Linked DNA regions of Oryctolagus cuniculus. The protein of the gene in region 1 binds, or shares a complex with, the protein of each later gene. Links are inferred from orthologs where the notes say so. Each region holds a gene or a part of one and is shown on either strand. Other genes may lie near its edges.

Region 1 (6,998 bases):
GCAAAGGCCCTGAGGCAGAGCCAAGGTGGTTCATTCGAGCACAGGAAGGAAGATCTGCCAGGCTGGATGGGGATGGGATGGGGCAGGGGCAGACAACACACAGGCCTTGCTGTGCGCTGCTGGCTTCCAGCCTGCCCTTCCCAGACCTGGCTCCCTCTACCATGAGAGTCTAGACGGCCCCTCAGGCCCCCTTCGCTATCGGACACGGCAGCACTCTGTAACCCGCGGCTTCCCCCACGCACGGAGCTGGCAGCCCAGACCCTGGCACATTCTCCGATTCGGGGCCGCCTGCTCACTGCAACACCCTGTGCGTACACCAGAGGGCAGCACCTCTCGAGGACGCCCCCTCACACATCTGGACCAGTGCCGCAGCACAGCTGCTTCTCCAAAAAGGCAGGTGCACAAACAGCGAGGTCAGAAAGGGTTAAGGTTTAGCGACAGAAGAAACCGAGGCTGAAAAAGAATAAAGACCGGAAAGAGAGGCAAAGGGAGACACCCCCGAGAGAGCCCCCCTCACTCAGCACCTCCAACACAGAGCAGTCCCACTGCAAGACAGCCGCCGCCACCAGGATCCGACTACGTGAGGGACCCGTGGGGGCACCCCGGTGAACGGGTCCCAGCCCTCCCACGTCCACAAGCCTCATCCCTGGTCTCTGGGGACCCTCGGAGCCCGCCGTGTGCAGACAGTCGCCCCCTCCCACATTTGAGACCCCCGAGAGCAGGTGTTGGACCAGTCCCTATTCCCCAAGACACCGAGGGGTCCCACCACCCCCCAGGAGTTAGAGTCCAAGGCTCACAGGACTCCTCCCCTCAGTGAGGGCTCAAAGCCCACTGTTGCCGGGAGGGGTGTGGAGCCCAAGGGGTCGGGTCCCTCTTCCCCATACGGGAGCCAGTGCAGGTCCCCAGGCACCAGGAATCTCGGCTTCTTCCCCCGGAGGACTAGACGCTCAGCCACCTCGGCTTCCGCTCCCTTGGAGACAAGATGGATACTCTCGTGGGAGTCCAGGCCCCAACTCCCCTCCCCACGCAGGAACCTGGAGGTCAAGTCCCCGAGCCCCCCAGTCTCTCCTCCCCTCCAAGCACCTGCCCCCACCCTGTTACCCCCAGTAGCCCAGACTCCCACGTCCCCTTCCCCCTAACAGGGACTTAAGATCCTAAGTCTCTCGGGGGCCAGCAGCCAGTCAGGCCCCCAACCCTCACGGCGAGGGTTCAGGGGGCGCCAGCACGGCCTCTGCATCTGCCTGCATCTCATCCAGTGCCTGCAGGAGGACGCCGTGCGCCGCGCGGTAGCCCAGGCCGCCCGTCGCCGCTGCGCCCCCCGCGGGCCACAGGAAGGAGAGCGCGCCCAGCGCCGCGCCCCCGGCAGTGCCCTCGCCCGCCCAGGCGCCCAGCCTGGCTTCCACCTCGGCGCGCGTCACCGGCCCCGGGAAGCGAGTGCGCGCCGCCAGCTCTCCAGGAGCCAGGCCCAGGGCGCGCTCACGTCTTGCCAGCGCCGCCGGTTCGAGCCCCAGCGCCCGCCTCCACTCCGCCAGCTGACCCCGCAGGAGCGCCACGTCGCAGGCCCAGCCCAGCCCTGGAACTGGGGCCGCTGCCGCCGCTAGGCTGGCCAGCAGCGCCGGCCGCCAGGCCCCGGCCCGCAGCGCGGCCGCCTTCCTCCGGGCCGCGCCGGGGGACGCGGGCGGCAGCGCCAGGAGGAGTGCGCCCGCTTGGGCCGGGGGCAGCGTGCGCTGCAGCCACTCGCTCAGTGCCGCGAGCCCGCCCGGTCGCAGGGGGAACACGGGCGGCGGCGTCTCCTCCAGCACCTCCCAGGTCTCATCTTCGGGGCTCAAGGCGGCCGAGCCCTCTGCATCCCCGCCGCCCTGCTGCGGACGCCGGCTCCCGGCCCTCTCCGGGCCCTCCCCTGCGCTTGCTGCCTGCGGCCCGGGGCCCGCTTTCTCCCTCCCGTCTCCCGGCGCAGGCTCCACTCGGCCCCCGCCGCTCAGCTTCCCCACCGTCTCCTCTTCTGGGGCCTCCGGATCCTCGCCCTCGCCATCTGTTCGCACGCAGACGAGCGCCGCGTCCGGTGGCACCAAGGCCCGGACCTGGGCCCAGTCCTCCTCAGTGGGGGCCCCCGAGGTGACCAGGATGAGGGCATCGTAGTGGGTCGGGTGAGGGGTGGTGGCGGCCAGGGCAGCGCCGCCAGCGGGGTCCAGCGGCACAACCCAGAACACCACGTTGGGGCGCTCCGGGGCCGGGAAAGGGGCGGGCCCAGCGGGCGCGGGCGCGGGCGCGGGCACTGCCCCTGGGGGGCCGGGATCCAGTCCGAGGAGCGCGTCCAGCACGGGGCTCACGCCTGCGGCGCCGGCCACTGCCAGGTCCAGCCGTGCGCTGCCCAGGCGCTCCAGGCCTGCTCGCACCCACGACAGAGCTGCCTCCAGGCCTCCCTTCTCGAAGGCCTCCCGCACGGCCTCCAGCTCGGCGGCACCCAGCACCTCGAAGCCATCCTGGGCCGCTGGCAGGAGCCTGCGGGGGTGGGGGGGAGAAGCAGAGGGCGGCGTTGGGGACAAGTCCAGTGGCAGGGGCGGGCACCCATGGTGGGAGGGGCTCCGAGCAGCCCTGGGTGGTGTCTGGTTGGCTGGAGTTCAGGTTTCAAACAGAACCCAAGACCGGGTCAAAGCTCCAACACCTCACTGGGGGCGGGGCACACAACAGGCAAAATCCTGACCCTAAGGGGAAACTGGCCCAGGAGGTGCGGCCATGGCCACCTGAGGCCGGTGACGCCAAGGACAGCGAGTCCCAGGCACTGGCACCGGCCCGCCCCGCTGAGGCTGTCTTAGGACGACCTGTTTGGCAAGGGAATCTGGGAGGTCGCCAGCAAACCAGCACAGAAACCAGAGGAGCCGGGACAAGGGGAGCGGGGAGGGCACCAGGCACCAGCAGGGCGGCGCTGTGGCACCGAGCCACACACACACACACACACACACACACACACACACACACACCTGGCCCACATCCCACCTCGCAGCCTGGCTGCTCCGCTTCTGATCCAGCTCCCTGCTAATGCGCCAGGGAGAGCAGTGGAAGATGGCCCGAGTGCTTGGGCCCCTGCGGCCATGTCGGGGACCTACAGCCTGGCTATTGCTACCATTGGGAAGTGGACCGACAGGCGGGAGAAGTCTCCCTGGCTCTCTCTCTCTCTGTGCCTTTCAAATAGGCACGCGCGCGCACGCACGCGCACACACACACACACACACACACACCTTTAAAAATCAATCAAGCTCAGGGAAGGTGTGGCCGGGGCCACTTGAGAACCAGGGCCTATAGGGCTCACCAACAAGCTGCACCAGACAGAGCCCCGGTCTGGGGGCAGTGTTTGGGTGATAAATCTGACCTCCCCCAGAACTGTCGCTAGGAAGGGGGGCTTGTGACTGGGGAGGGGGTCAGGACCTCCAGGGGTCTTGGCCCCGGGGGGCTCACTTGGGGTGCAGCCTCCTGACCTCCCCCCCCACACTGAGGGGCTGAGCCTGGAGGAGCCTTGCGACCCTCAAAGGGCACAGTGACGGGGTGGGTGGGACACCTACAATGGGGCCCAGGCCTCCCCAGCCCAGCCTGAGACCCGGCGCTCACCTCTGCAGCGCCTCCGCCCGGCTCCGCAACGCCCCCCACAGGCGCTCCAGCTCCTCGCAGTCCTCGCTGCCAGCCCAGTCCGCAGGCAGCACGAACAGGGCGGCCGCCCCCAGCCCCGCGCGGTCCAGCAGGGCAGCGGTCTGCTCCCGCGTCTGCGCGTCACTCTGCGAAGCCCCGGGACGCAGCGCCCGCACGGCCAGCAGCGGGGCTCCCCGGGCGAGGGCAGCCCGCGCCGCCTCGCCCAGCGCCGGTGCCAAGGGCTCCCCACTGCCCTCGGCTCCGGGCAGCACCAGCACCAGCACGTCGGCCTCGGCCGCCCAGGGCCCGGGCGCGGCGGGCGGGCAGCTCAGCTCGCCCAGGAAGAGCCCGGGGCCTGCGGCTCTCAGCCTGGGCACGCCGGCGTCCGGCCGTCCCTCGGGGATTTCCACCAGGTCCACACTGCTGCACAGCGCCCCGATGAGCGCGGACTTGCCGGCCCCCGGGGGCCCCAGGAACAGGGCGGTCACGTCGCCCCTGGGCGGAGGCATGGCTGGAAGGCAAGGGGGGACGGCCGGCCGCGGTCACGGGGCACCCAGACTCCGGGCCCCTCCTCCCAGCGCCCAGGCCCCCCGGCCCCCGCTCTGCCTCCTCTCCGGCCATTGCCCCTTTCTATCCTCACCCCTCCTCCCTCCCGGATCACCCGCCCGGGAGCGCCGACGCACCTGTGAGCACAGCTGGCGGCGGCCTCGCCCCTGCGGAGCTGGGCTCTGAGGCGTGGGCGCCGGGACGCGTCCGCCAGGCCCTGCGCTGACGTCACTCAGGCCGCAGAGACTCGACCTTCCTCGCGGCGCCTGCGCAGGACGGCCGCACTGCCCGAGCGCCCCTAACAATGCGCGGGCCACAGCGCCTGCGCACTCGCGCGTAGCGCTTCGGCTTGTACGGCACGGCGGCCGCAACGTCATCATAACGCGTCGCAGTGCAAGGAAGGACCTCCGAGCTCCCCCACTGCCCGTTATTTGGAGGCCCGGGTTGGCGACTGTACTACTGCCGGATGGCAACTACGGGCTCGGCTTCGAGAGGCACCTCAGGCGGAAGCTTCGGAAGCTGCGGGAACCCCGAAATGCCACGGGCCCTACCTCGCTTCCCTGTGGGTGGCGGCGCTGTGGGGCGCCAGTGACAGGCACAGCGCGAGGCAGCCTCTGCTGTACGGAGAGGAGCGGAGGCCGGGGCGACCCGCCTGGGGAGCCGGGGGCCCAAGGCAGTGCTTGCAGGACAGTGAGGCCGGCAGCGCGTGCGGGCGGCGGGGACTCTGGGTGGAGCACCCCAGGATGGCAGAGAAGCGTGTCTTCCGGGGAGAGGCAGGCTGAAGGGGTGGGTGCCGCTGAGGCTGATGGCAGTCCAGGGTCCCACGCTCTGAGTTCAGGGAGTTGGTTTGGTGCAGCGGGAACACAGGTCACACAAGCGAGCAGGCTTTAGGGGAGCCACAGACGCGGGGAGTCCAAGCCTCTAGGTTTGAGCTTCTCTGGGGACGGCTCCATCAGAAAGAGTTCAAGGAGATGGGTACATCTTGGGGGGGGGGTCAAAGGTGGGCGAGGAGCAGCTCTGTCGATGGCGGAGGTCGTGGGATTGGCGGGCCCTCCAGGGCTGGGGACAGCCGAGCGGCCTCACTCCTCACTCATAAGGGCTCCTCCCTTGACCAGAGGGGCCGCGGTCACCATGGAGGACCCGCACCCTGAGGAGACCTTGGAGCCGCAGGAGTCGCCCAGCGAGAGGCGTCCCGGCCGCCCGGGGGGCCGCATCTGTGAGTACAGGGGCGCCGTCCAGTGTCTGGGTCCGGGGCCTGGGGTGGCCCCTGAGCTGCCCTGCTCTGGCCGCACAAGCGAGAGGAGGGTGCAGCCGGGACAGGGTGGCTTGCAGGAGAGGCTCGGCGGGAGATGCGGACGGTTCAGCTCAGCCCTGCCCTTGACTTTTCCCGAGACTGGAGCCCCCGTGCCCCTGGGCCCACGGCTGCCGCTGCCCACCGCGCACGGCTTTCGTGGGGCCGCCTCCGGCCAGTGGAGCAAGGCAGGCTGACGGGGAGCAGCCCCTGCCCCCCGGGCAGGATGCATTCACCCCCGGGACCTCACTCCGTCACCAAGTGGGCACTAGGACTTTGGGTGAGAGCCGGGGCAGAGAGGTCCCGCGGCCAGGCCAGCGCCCGTACCTGCCCAGGAAGTGTCCCGGGCAGCGTGGCTCAGAGGGCAGCGCGACTCTCGGGGTCACCTCCGGGTCCGGTGACCTCGGTGGGCCTGAGTCCACTCGTCCATAATAAGGCAGGCCCTCAACGGTCCCGTCCAGCCCGCCATGGGCGTCGTGGGTGTGGGTCTGGGGCTTGGGGGAGGCCTGGAGACCCCCGGTGGGCGACCCCCGCCTCTCCGCCTCGCGCAGGCCCCCTGGAGGCCCCGCAGTGCAGCCGCTGCCTCATCACCTTCGCCGACTCCAAGTTCCAGGAGCGCCACCTGAAGCGGGAGCACCCCGCCGACTTCGTGGCCCAGAAGCTGCAGGGGGCGCTCTTCGTCTGCTTCACCTGCGCCCGCGCCTTCCTCTCCTCCGAGGCCCTGATCGCCCACCAGCGGAGCCACGGCCCCGCCGCGCGAGCGCCCCCTGCAGGTGCACCCGCCGCCGCCGCCGCCGCGCAGGCCCGCTTCGCGTGTCCCGACTGCGGCAAGGCCTTCGCGCAGGCCGGCTCTCTGCGGAGACACCGGCAGGTGCACGAGGCCCGCACCTTCGCCTGCACCGAGTGTGGCCAGGATTTTGCCCAGGAGGCAGGGCTGCACCAGCACTACATCCGGCACGCTCGGGGGGAGCTCTGAGTGCAGCCTGAGCCCTCCCCGCGGCGATGGGGGCGCTAGGGCTGGTGGGGCCCATCTAAGGTGGGGGGTGGAGGTCCCCAGGGGGGGCTGGGCGGCTAAGCGTCCCTCCCCAGGAAGGCGAGGGCTCGTGACGCACAGGACCTGGAAGATTCTGCGCTGTGGAGGACGTGGGGCCCGTAGGGAGCCGTGAGATCAGATCATCGTTGAGAGCTTTTGTTTTTAAAAAATGAGCAAGAGGGAAATTTTATTTTTATCTCCCTCATTCCCAATTAAAGAGCTAGCTGCAGATTGCGTAATCACCTTTAATTCTCCCCAGATGGATGCCATGGGCTGTCAGGGCACCGTGCCTTGGATCTGTGCCTGGATGGGGGCGGGGAAGGGAGGCGACGCTACTGGGCGAGCCCCTCTTGAGGAGGGGAGGCGACGCTGAGAGCTCACCCCGAGGCATTGCGGGGGTGGCGCCTGCAGTGGAGGCCTTGTCTCTCCCCACTCAGAGGGGCCCCGGCGTTGAAGTGGCACCAGCCGGAGACAGCTTAGGGCTCCTTAAAATAATTCTGTGAG
Region 2 (6,742 bases), about 46 Mb from region 1:
AGGGGCTGAGGACTGCCTGGGGTGGCGAGGGAGAGGAGGAGGAGGAGGAGGAGCTGAGTCACACTTGAAGGGGACCCTGGCACCCTGTGTTGCTAAGGGGTAATTATATTTGCATATAGCCTGATGACGTCACATGCCTCTTTTGTTTATAAACAACTTTGTAAGAATAAAATCCTCACATGAACAAGTGGCTGCATCGGTGTGGGGTGAGAAGTCATTACTGGGGCAGAAGTGCTGAGGGGCTGGGCAGAAGGGTGGTGGCTCCAACACCCTTAACTCCGCAGGGTAGGATCTGGGCTCCTGGTAGGTTTGTCCTAAAATCCTGACAGGAGTCTACCGCATTCAGTTTCAGGGTGGGTTCTCCGCAGATCAGAAAGGCAAATGGGGTCAAAAACTGGCCGTGAAGCAGCCCTGAGAAACATTTTTCATTTCCAATTCTATTTATACCTCAGGGATACTGGGGGAGGAGCAGTTGGTAAGACTCGTAGCCATTTTAATTGCTAGACTTCTGTGGCGCCCCCGGAGTACGCTTCACGTCTCCAGCAGCCTGCTGCTTTCCTTCAGGTACTCGAGACCCAGAATCAGGAAAATCGGCTGTCGCAGCCAGGCTCCCACTTCCCCCACTAAGCTCCCACCTCCCGCGAGGAGGCAGCACAGGGTCAGCCAGACTGCAGAAGTCGCAGGGGTTCTAGGAAGACTGGCCTCCACCGCTACCTTAAGGGAAGCTAAGAGTGACCACGGTTGCCCAAGGCTTTCTCCCCCGAGGAAGAGCACCCCCAGGAACACAGTGCTGAGGCCCGCAAGGAAGAACCGACAGTGGTAAGGTCCCTCACGTAGCAGAGCAGAGGTGCCCAGCGTCTCCTCAAGCTGGATGTTGGCCTTAGCATAGAGGCCTCCGTTTCTTCCCTGCTTGCCTCGCTACCAACACTAGGAAGCAGAGTAAGTGGAGATCAGGAAGGAGGAAGTAAGACCAAAGCCAAGCTTTCCACCGGTAGCAGAAGTAAGGTCTGGAATTTGGCTTAGGCCTCTTCTGGGTATTTCAGATTTTTAAAAAGGAAAGCATTTCAGCGACACTGGTCTAGTTCTTAGGGCATCTCAAAGCTTCAGTTTTTACAATTACTACTGTACAGGACATCAAATGAAACCTTGTTTGGGTCACTAAGGGAAGATGTGGCCAGGAATTCACATTCAGCAAAAAGGTGGGTCCAGAATCTGGCTCCAGGCCTAGAAGTGCCCAATCAGTAAAGGCAATGGAGTGACCAGGAGTTTAGACTGAGCCAGTCCCTGTGCCCCATTCCAAGAGGACTAAGGCTGGCCTGTCAGTTATACCAAAGAGGGGAACTGTGACAGCCCTGCCTAGATTCAGGCCCCAAGTCACAACTGAATCCCAAAGGCGGCTTCCAGGCAGCACAGCACTGTGGCAGTCAAAGCAGGAGGTGCCGAGGCCGGTAAAAGAGCGCAGAGAGCCCTCAGAGCCTTTCCTGAGCAGCAGCCGTTTCCTCAGGCACGTCACATGCCTCGTGTTTATAAACACACTTGTAAGAATAACCTCAACTGAGCAAGTGGCTGCATCGAGTGAACTGGGGCCACAAGTGCTGGGGGCTGGGCGCTCGTCTCACCAAGGCAAAGAGCTGACGGAAGTGAGGAGAAGCAAGCAGGTGATCAATTGAAGCTGAGCCCCAGGAGGCCCAGAGCTCCTGACAGAGCAGCAGGGGCGACCTCACGGTCCCGTGAGAAACCTCGTCTGATACCTTGTTCTACCTACGGCTTAGGCCGACCTGCGTGCTCGACTATTTCCCAGTATTCTTGGGTGGCTGAGCCTGGGTTTTTCTTTTTCTTCCGTCTAGGCTTCGTTCTATTTTCTTAATCCAAAGTGCACTCCCATTTATGGCAGCCCTTTCTTGTTTTCCTGGCGCTCCTGGTGTCAGGGACCATAAAACCCAGATTCCAGGCAGATCCCGAGGCCTCCCAAGGGTCTGGTGGTGTTAAGCAGCCGGGCAGACGTCCCCCTCGGAGGTCTGTGTGGCAGCACCTCACCTGGACTGTGGGACTGTCTTATCCACGAACAGGAAGATCGCCTTTTCAGAAGGGAGCTGGATCCTCTTCCTGATGATCCACATGAACTGAGCCACAGTAATGTCAGATGGAACCAGGTACTTCCGTTTGTCAATGTCGACAATCTGGGAGCCTGAGACTTTTTCCACAATCACCTGGGAAAGTAAAGAGAAGTCAAGACTGGGTCTCTTCCCGTGAGGCTCTTCCCCCACACTGGCGGGGCACTGATGGGCAGAGTGTGGGCAAGGAGCTGGGTGGGAAACAGCCGAGCATGGCCAGACCCCGCCGGCTCCAGCAGCCACACGATCTGGACGTCAGGAACTGCTACACATCTATTATGGGGAAACAGTAAGTGCTTCTCTGTGGTCAATTAAGCCTCTCATCCTGATCGCGGCATGCCGAAGAATCAGCTACCGAGGCTTTCAACATCTCATCTGGGCAGATCTGAGAATGCCTGGTGGGTGTTTCCTGTACAGCCGCTTCCTCCAGGACCCCAGAGTGGACCCACCTCCACGCTGCAGAACTGAGGGCCCACGGACACAGCCGGCAAGCACGGGCGGGCCGCTGGGCTGCCTGGCAGGCTCCTCGGGTGGCCTGTCGCTTCTCTGAACAGCTTTCGGGTCTGTGCCCTCCCCAGGGGAACCTCTCCAAACCAACACGGACCACAAACTACAGGCGCGAATGCATCACTGACTAAAAGGAGACCCGGGAGAAGGGACTCCCCGCAGCTCTGCAGCATCCTCGGTCAGGCAAGACGACATGGTCCCCGTGCACAAGAGGAACGAGAAGTCCGCGAGCCCGACACGCAGAGTGAAAGACTGCACGTCCCGAAACCTAAGGGCCGCTTCCAGGACCACGGTGAGTCGCTCCGCCACCGTTCCCAAAAGTGGCAGTGACCTGTTGCCCTGTCCTAGAACATCGTTCCTTACGTAATTGGCCAGGGAGCCCTGGGGCTGTAGACAGCTCGCTGGCCCAGATCGGGAGATTCAGCACTGAGGCACCTGAACAGCACCAGCCCCAGCCCCTCGACCCCGGCCGGGGGACCGCCGGCCACGCCAAGCGGGGTCCGGAACCTCAGCTCACCCAGTGTCGCACGGCTGGGCCCCGTCGCCGCTCCCGGGCAGGGGACAGGGGAGCCAGCAGGGCGAGGGGGCGGGGAGTCCCACACTCACCGGAACCCGGTCGGGGTATTTCGCTCGGATCTTCGCGGATTCCACGCATCTGTGTTCTGAGAGAGAAACACACCGGGCTGACGGCGGCGCCTGCCCGCCGGGCCGGTGCCGGGCCCCAGGCCCTCGCGGTCCTCCTCCCCCGGCGACCTGCGCAAGCCCCGGCCCTCGTCCGGTGTCTCCGCGACCGCGGTCCTCTGCCCCCGGGCTCCCGGAGGAGGGGCCGCAGAGGGCCGCACCGGGCCAGGGGGCGGCTGCCCACGACGGCCCGGGCCCTCGGCGACCCGAGCCCGGAGCGCAGCATCCGCCCCGCCCGACCCGGCCCAGGGCGGCCCGAGTGGGGGAGGGGGCCCACCCGCCGCCCCCACTCCCCGCGGGCCGGCCGGCCGGCGGCCGAGAGCTTACCGAGCGAGTGGTCCTCCTTGAACATCCACTTCATGGCGGCGGCAGCGAGGGGACGCAGCCGGCTCTCGGGAGCCGCGGAGTTCAGCGAACCGACCACAACAACAACGACGGCAGCGACTACACGGCAGGCGGGACTTCCGGCTGCCGGAGCCTAGCAACTGGCAGGGGCGGGGCTTCCGGCGCCGCCCGCAGGGTCGCCGCTCCAGGGGGCGGGGCCGCACTAGGGGCGCAGGGGGCGATCGGGCTGTGGCGCTGGTGGCAGGGGTGTCTTGAGGGCTACTGGCTACTGGGTCGGGGGAGGACTGCTGGAGGACCTGTGACGGGGGTGGGGCGCCAGGGCGTTGGTGACTGATACGGAAGACTTTTGGGGGCGTGGCTGAGAGGCTAGGGCTCTTAGGGTTGTTCATAGGGGAAGTCTGGGACGGTGCTGACCAGAAGGGTATTTAGGAATATGAATGACAGAAGAGTGGTCTCTTGTTAGGGCGTTGACAGTTTGGGGGATATTTGCAGCGGTGAGGGGTGGGGGACTCAGCATAGGGGAGTGTTGGCAGTTTGAGGGCTGTGTGTGGGGAGGGGAGCTGATGACGTCCAGGGGGTCTTGCACTGAGGTCAGCCATGCTAGGTTACCTTGAATCCAGAAATCATACAGGAATCCCATTTCCTTCCTTGATCCACGAATATACGTGTGGATGCATATGGAGGGTGTCACAAATGCTTGTGTGACATCAGCGGCCACACAGCGATCCCTTAACCTTCACCCAGCAGGGAAGTTAGAGGTGACTGCCAGGCCGGAATTCCTCTGAGTGCTGGTCACGGGGCAGGTTTCCTTGTTGGGCAGTGGGAGTGGCTTAGCAGGCACAGCCGGGCCCTCTGTGTCACCTGCCTGCACGTAGCCTTGAGGTTCTCCACTCAGCGATGTGATTCCTTTCTTCCAAGCAGAGTCACCAGGGCAGGGTGTCCTGGGTCACCATCTGTTTATTAGCTGGTGAACATGTGACCGGAACATTCATCTAATTGGGCACATGACCCCTGCTACATGCTTGTGATTCTGCTGCATCCAAAAGGCCTGTGTGTTTGAATAATGTCATCCATCACTTCCTACAGATCGAATTCCCCACGGATGCTGTGGAATGCAGGGTTCAGTCTACAAGTATTTCTGTGCATTTACGGTTGCGTGTCTCAACAGCCAGAAGAGGGTTTGTTAACGAAGTGGAAAATCCTTTGAGTTTCATACTTAGAAACTGGTGCTGCCGCTGCAGCTCAATAGGCTAATCCTCCATCTAGCGGCGCCGGCACACCGGGTTCTAGTCCCAGTCGGGGCGCCAGATTCTGTCCCGGTTGCCCCTCTTCCAGGCCAGCTCTCTGCTGTGGCCCGGGAGTGCAGTGGAGGATGGCCCAAGTGCTTGGGCCCTGCACCCCATGGGAGACCAGGAGAAGCACCTGGCTCCTGCCATCAGATCAGCGCGGTGCGCCGGTCGCAGCACGCCGGCCGCGGCGGCCATTGGAGGGTGAACCAACGGCAAAGGAAGACCTTTCTCTCTGTCTCTCTCTCTCTATCCACTCTGCCTGTCAAAAAAAAAAAAAGAAAAAAAAGAAAAGAAAAGAAAAGAAAAGAAAAGAAAGAAAGAAAGAAAGAAAGAAACTGGTGTTGTGGTACACAAGCACACTCACTGCCCCAGGCGCAAGGGACAGAGCGGTGAACAGACAACACCACTGCTCCCATGGAGGCTGCATTCCCATGAGACAAGGCCAAAAATAAATATGTGATATGCTAATAAGTGCTGGTTAGAAGAACAAAATGAAGTAGATGACTAGACGGTGATGGTGGGATAGAGTGCTGACTAAAAACCCTGCCGCAAGGCAGGCTCTGTGACACAGGAGTTAAAGCCCTGGCCTGCTGTGCCGGCATCCCATATGGTTGCCGGTTCGAGTCCCAGCTGCTGCACTTCTAATCCATCTCCCTGCTAATGTACCTGGGAAAGCAATGGAGGGCTATGTGTGCCCCTAAAAACCCTGCCACTGAAAGTAAGTAAACAATGAGGATTGTATTAGGAGATGGGATCAAAGTCATCTAGAACAAAACTGTTGAACTTTGAATTTCTTGCAAAGAACTTTGGATTTTATATACATTTAGATGAGCAGTGGAGGATTTTAAGTACAGGCATAATACAATCTTCCTTTTTCAATGACCAGGCTAGCTTCTGTGTTAACAGTGGACTATGGGGGCGTAAAGGTGGAAGCAGGGAAATAGTTAAGAGGCTATTGTGAAAATCCAGGTGAAAGATCATGTTGGATTAAACCAAGATGGTATCTGGGGACATGCTGGGAAGCACTTGTGCTCTGGATATATGTTGAAGGTAGAGCTGACAAATTTTCTGACAGATTGGTTGTGAGATGTGAGGGATAAGTTAAAGTCAAGGTTTTTTCAAGGATGGAATGGCCATTTACTGAAATAGGGTGGAGCTAGCATGCAGGATTAGAATCAAGAGTTTGGTTTTATTTCTTTTTTTTTTTTAAAGATTAATTTATTTATTTGAAAGGCAGAGTTACAGAGGCAGAGAGAGAGAGACAGAGAGACAGAGACAGAGAGAGACAGAGAGAGGTCTTCCAGATGGCTGCAACCACCAGAGCTGCGCTGATCAGAAGCCAGGAGCCAGGAGCTTCTTCCAGTCTCCCACATAGGTGGCAGGGGCCCAAAAATTTGGGCCATCTTTGGCTTCTTTTCCCAGGCCATTAGCAGGGACCTGGATCAGAACTGGAGCAGTCAGGAATCAAACCAAACCCCTACGGATGCCAGCATCACAGGCGGTGGCTTTTCCCACTATGTCACAATGCCAGCCCCAAAAGTTTGGTTTTAGATGTATTAAATATGAGAAACCCAAGAGACACATCCAAGTGAAGCTGAAGAATGGGTGAATGGCCCTAGGAAAGAAGTATCTAAAGCTACTGAACTGGATGAAATTAGCTACATGAATGAAAGTAGCTATTTTGCAGATAAAAAACTGAACACTGAAGTCAGTAAATCAGTGGAGGAGTTAGAAGTTGGACTCAAGACCTCTGTTTGCCTTTACCTAGTTGGATTTGTGCCACAGTCCCAGAGATGTGTTTATCAC

What was found. The genes of interacting proteins can lie anywhere in the genome.
Region 2: the proteins of IRGQ (region 1) and GABARAPL2 are in contact, whole or in part, in a crystal structure (PDB 8Q6Q), measured with the Homo sapiens proteins. The link is inferred for Oryctolagus cuniculus from reciprocal best matches to the Homo sapiens genes IRGQ and GABARAPL2. Residues at the interface, in NP_001007562.1 of Homo sapiens: Asp7, Thr9, Leu11, Pro47, Leu49, Phe57, Pro70, Trp71, Glu74, Pro181, Ala182, Gln183, Asp184, Gly185, Phe186, Glu187, Val188, Leu189; in NP_009216.1 of Homo sapiens: Ser10, Glu12, His13, Cys15, Val16, Glu17, Ala19, Lys20, Ile21, Ala23, Lys24, Tyr25, Arg28, Pro30, Lys46, Lys48, Tyr49, Leu50, Val51, Pro52, Phe60, Ile63, Arg67, Phe104.

Annotation. Positions count from the first base shown.
Region 1 is NC_091449.1:12,314,784-12,321,781, reverse strand, and holds IRGQ (immunity-related GTPase family Q protein), read right to left. Parts: upstream 4,447-6,998; 5' UTR 4,308-4,446; intron 4,136-4,307; 5' UTR 4,134-4,135; coding exon 3,607-4,133; intron 2,503-3,606; coding exon 1,197-2,502; 3' UTR 1,061-1,196; downstream 1-1,060. Other genes in the region: ZNF576 (zinc finger protein 576), read left to right, coding at 5,302-5,386, 6,013-6,437. UniProt on the Homo sapiens protein: Autophagy receptor that specifically promotes clearance of misfolded MHC class I molecules by targeting them to the lysosome for degradation.
Region 2 is NC_091449.1:57,941,270-57,948,011, reverse strand, and holds the start of GABARAPL2 (gamma-aminobutyric acid receptor-associated protein-like 2), read right to left. Parts: upstream 3,940-6,742; 5' UTR 3,664-3,939; coding exon 3,630-3,663; intron 3,284-3,629; coding exon 3,228-3,283; intron 2,211-3,227; coding exon 2,038-2,210; intron 1-2,037. UniProt on the Homo sapiens protein: Ubiquitin-like modifier involved in intra-Golgi traffic. Modulates intra-Golgi transport through coupling between NSF activity and SNAREs activation. It first stimulates the ATPase activity of NSF which in turn stimulates the association with GOSR1.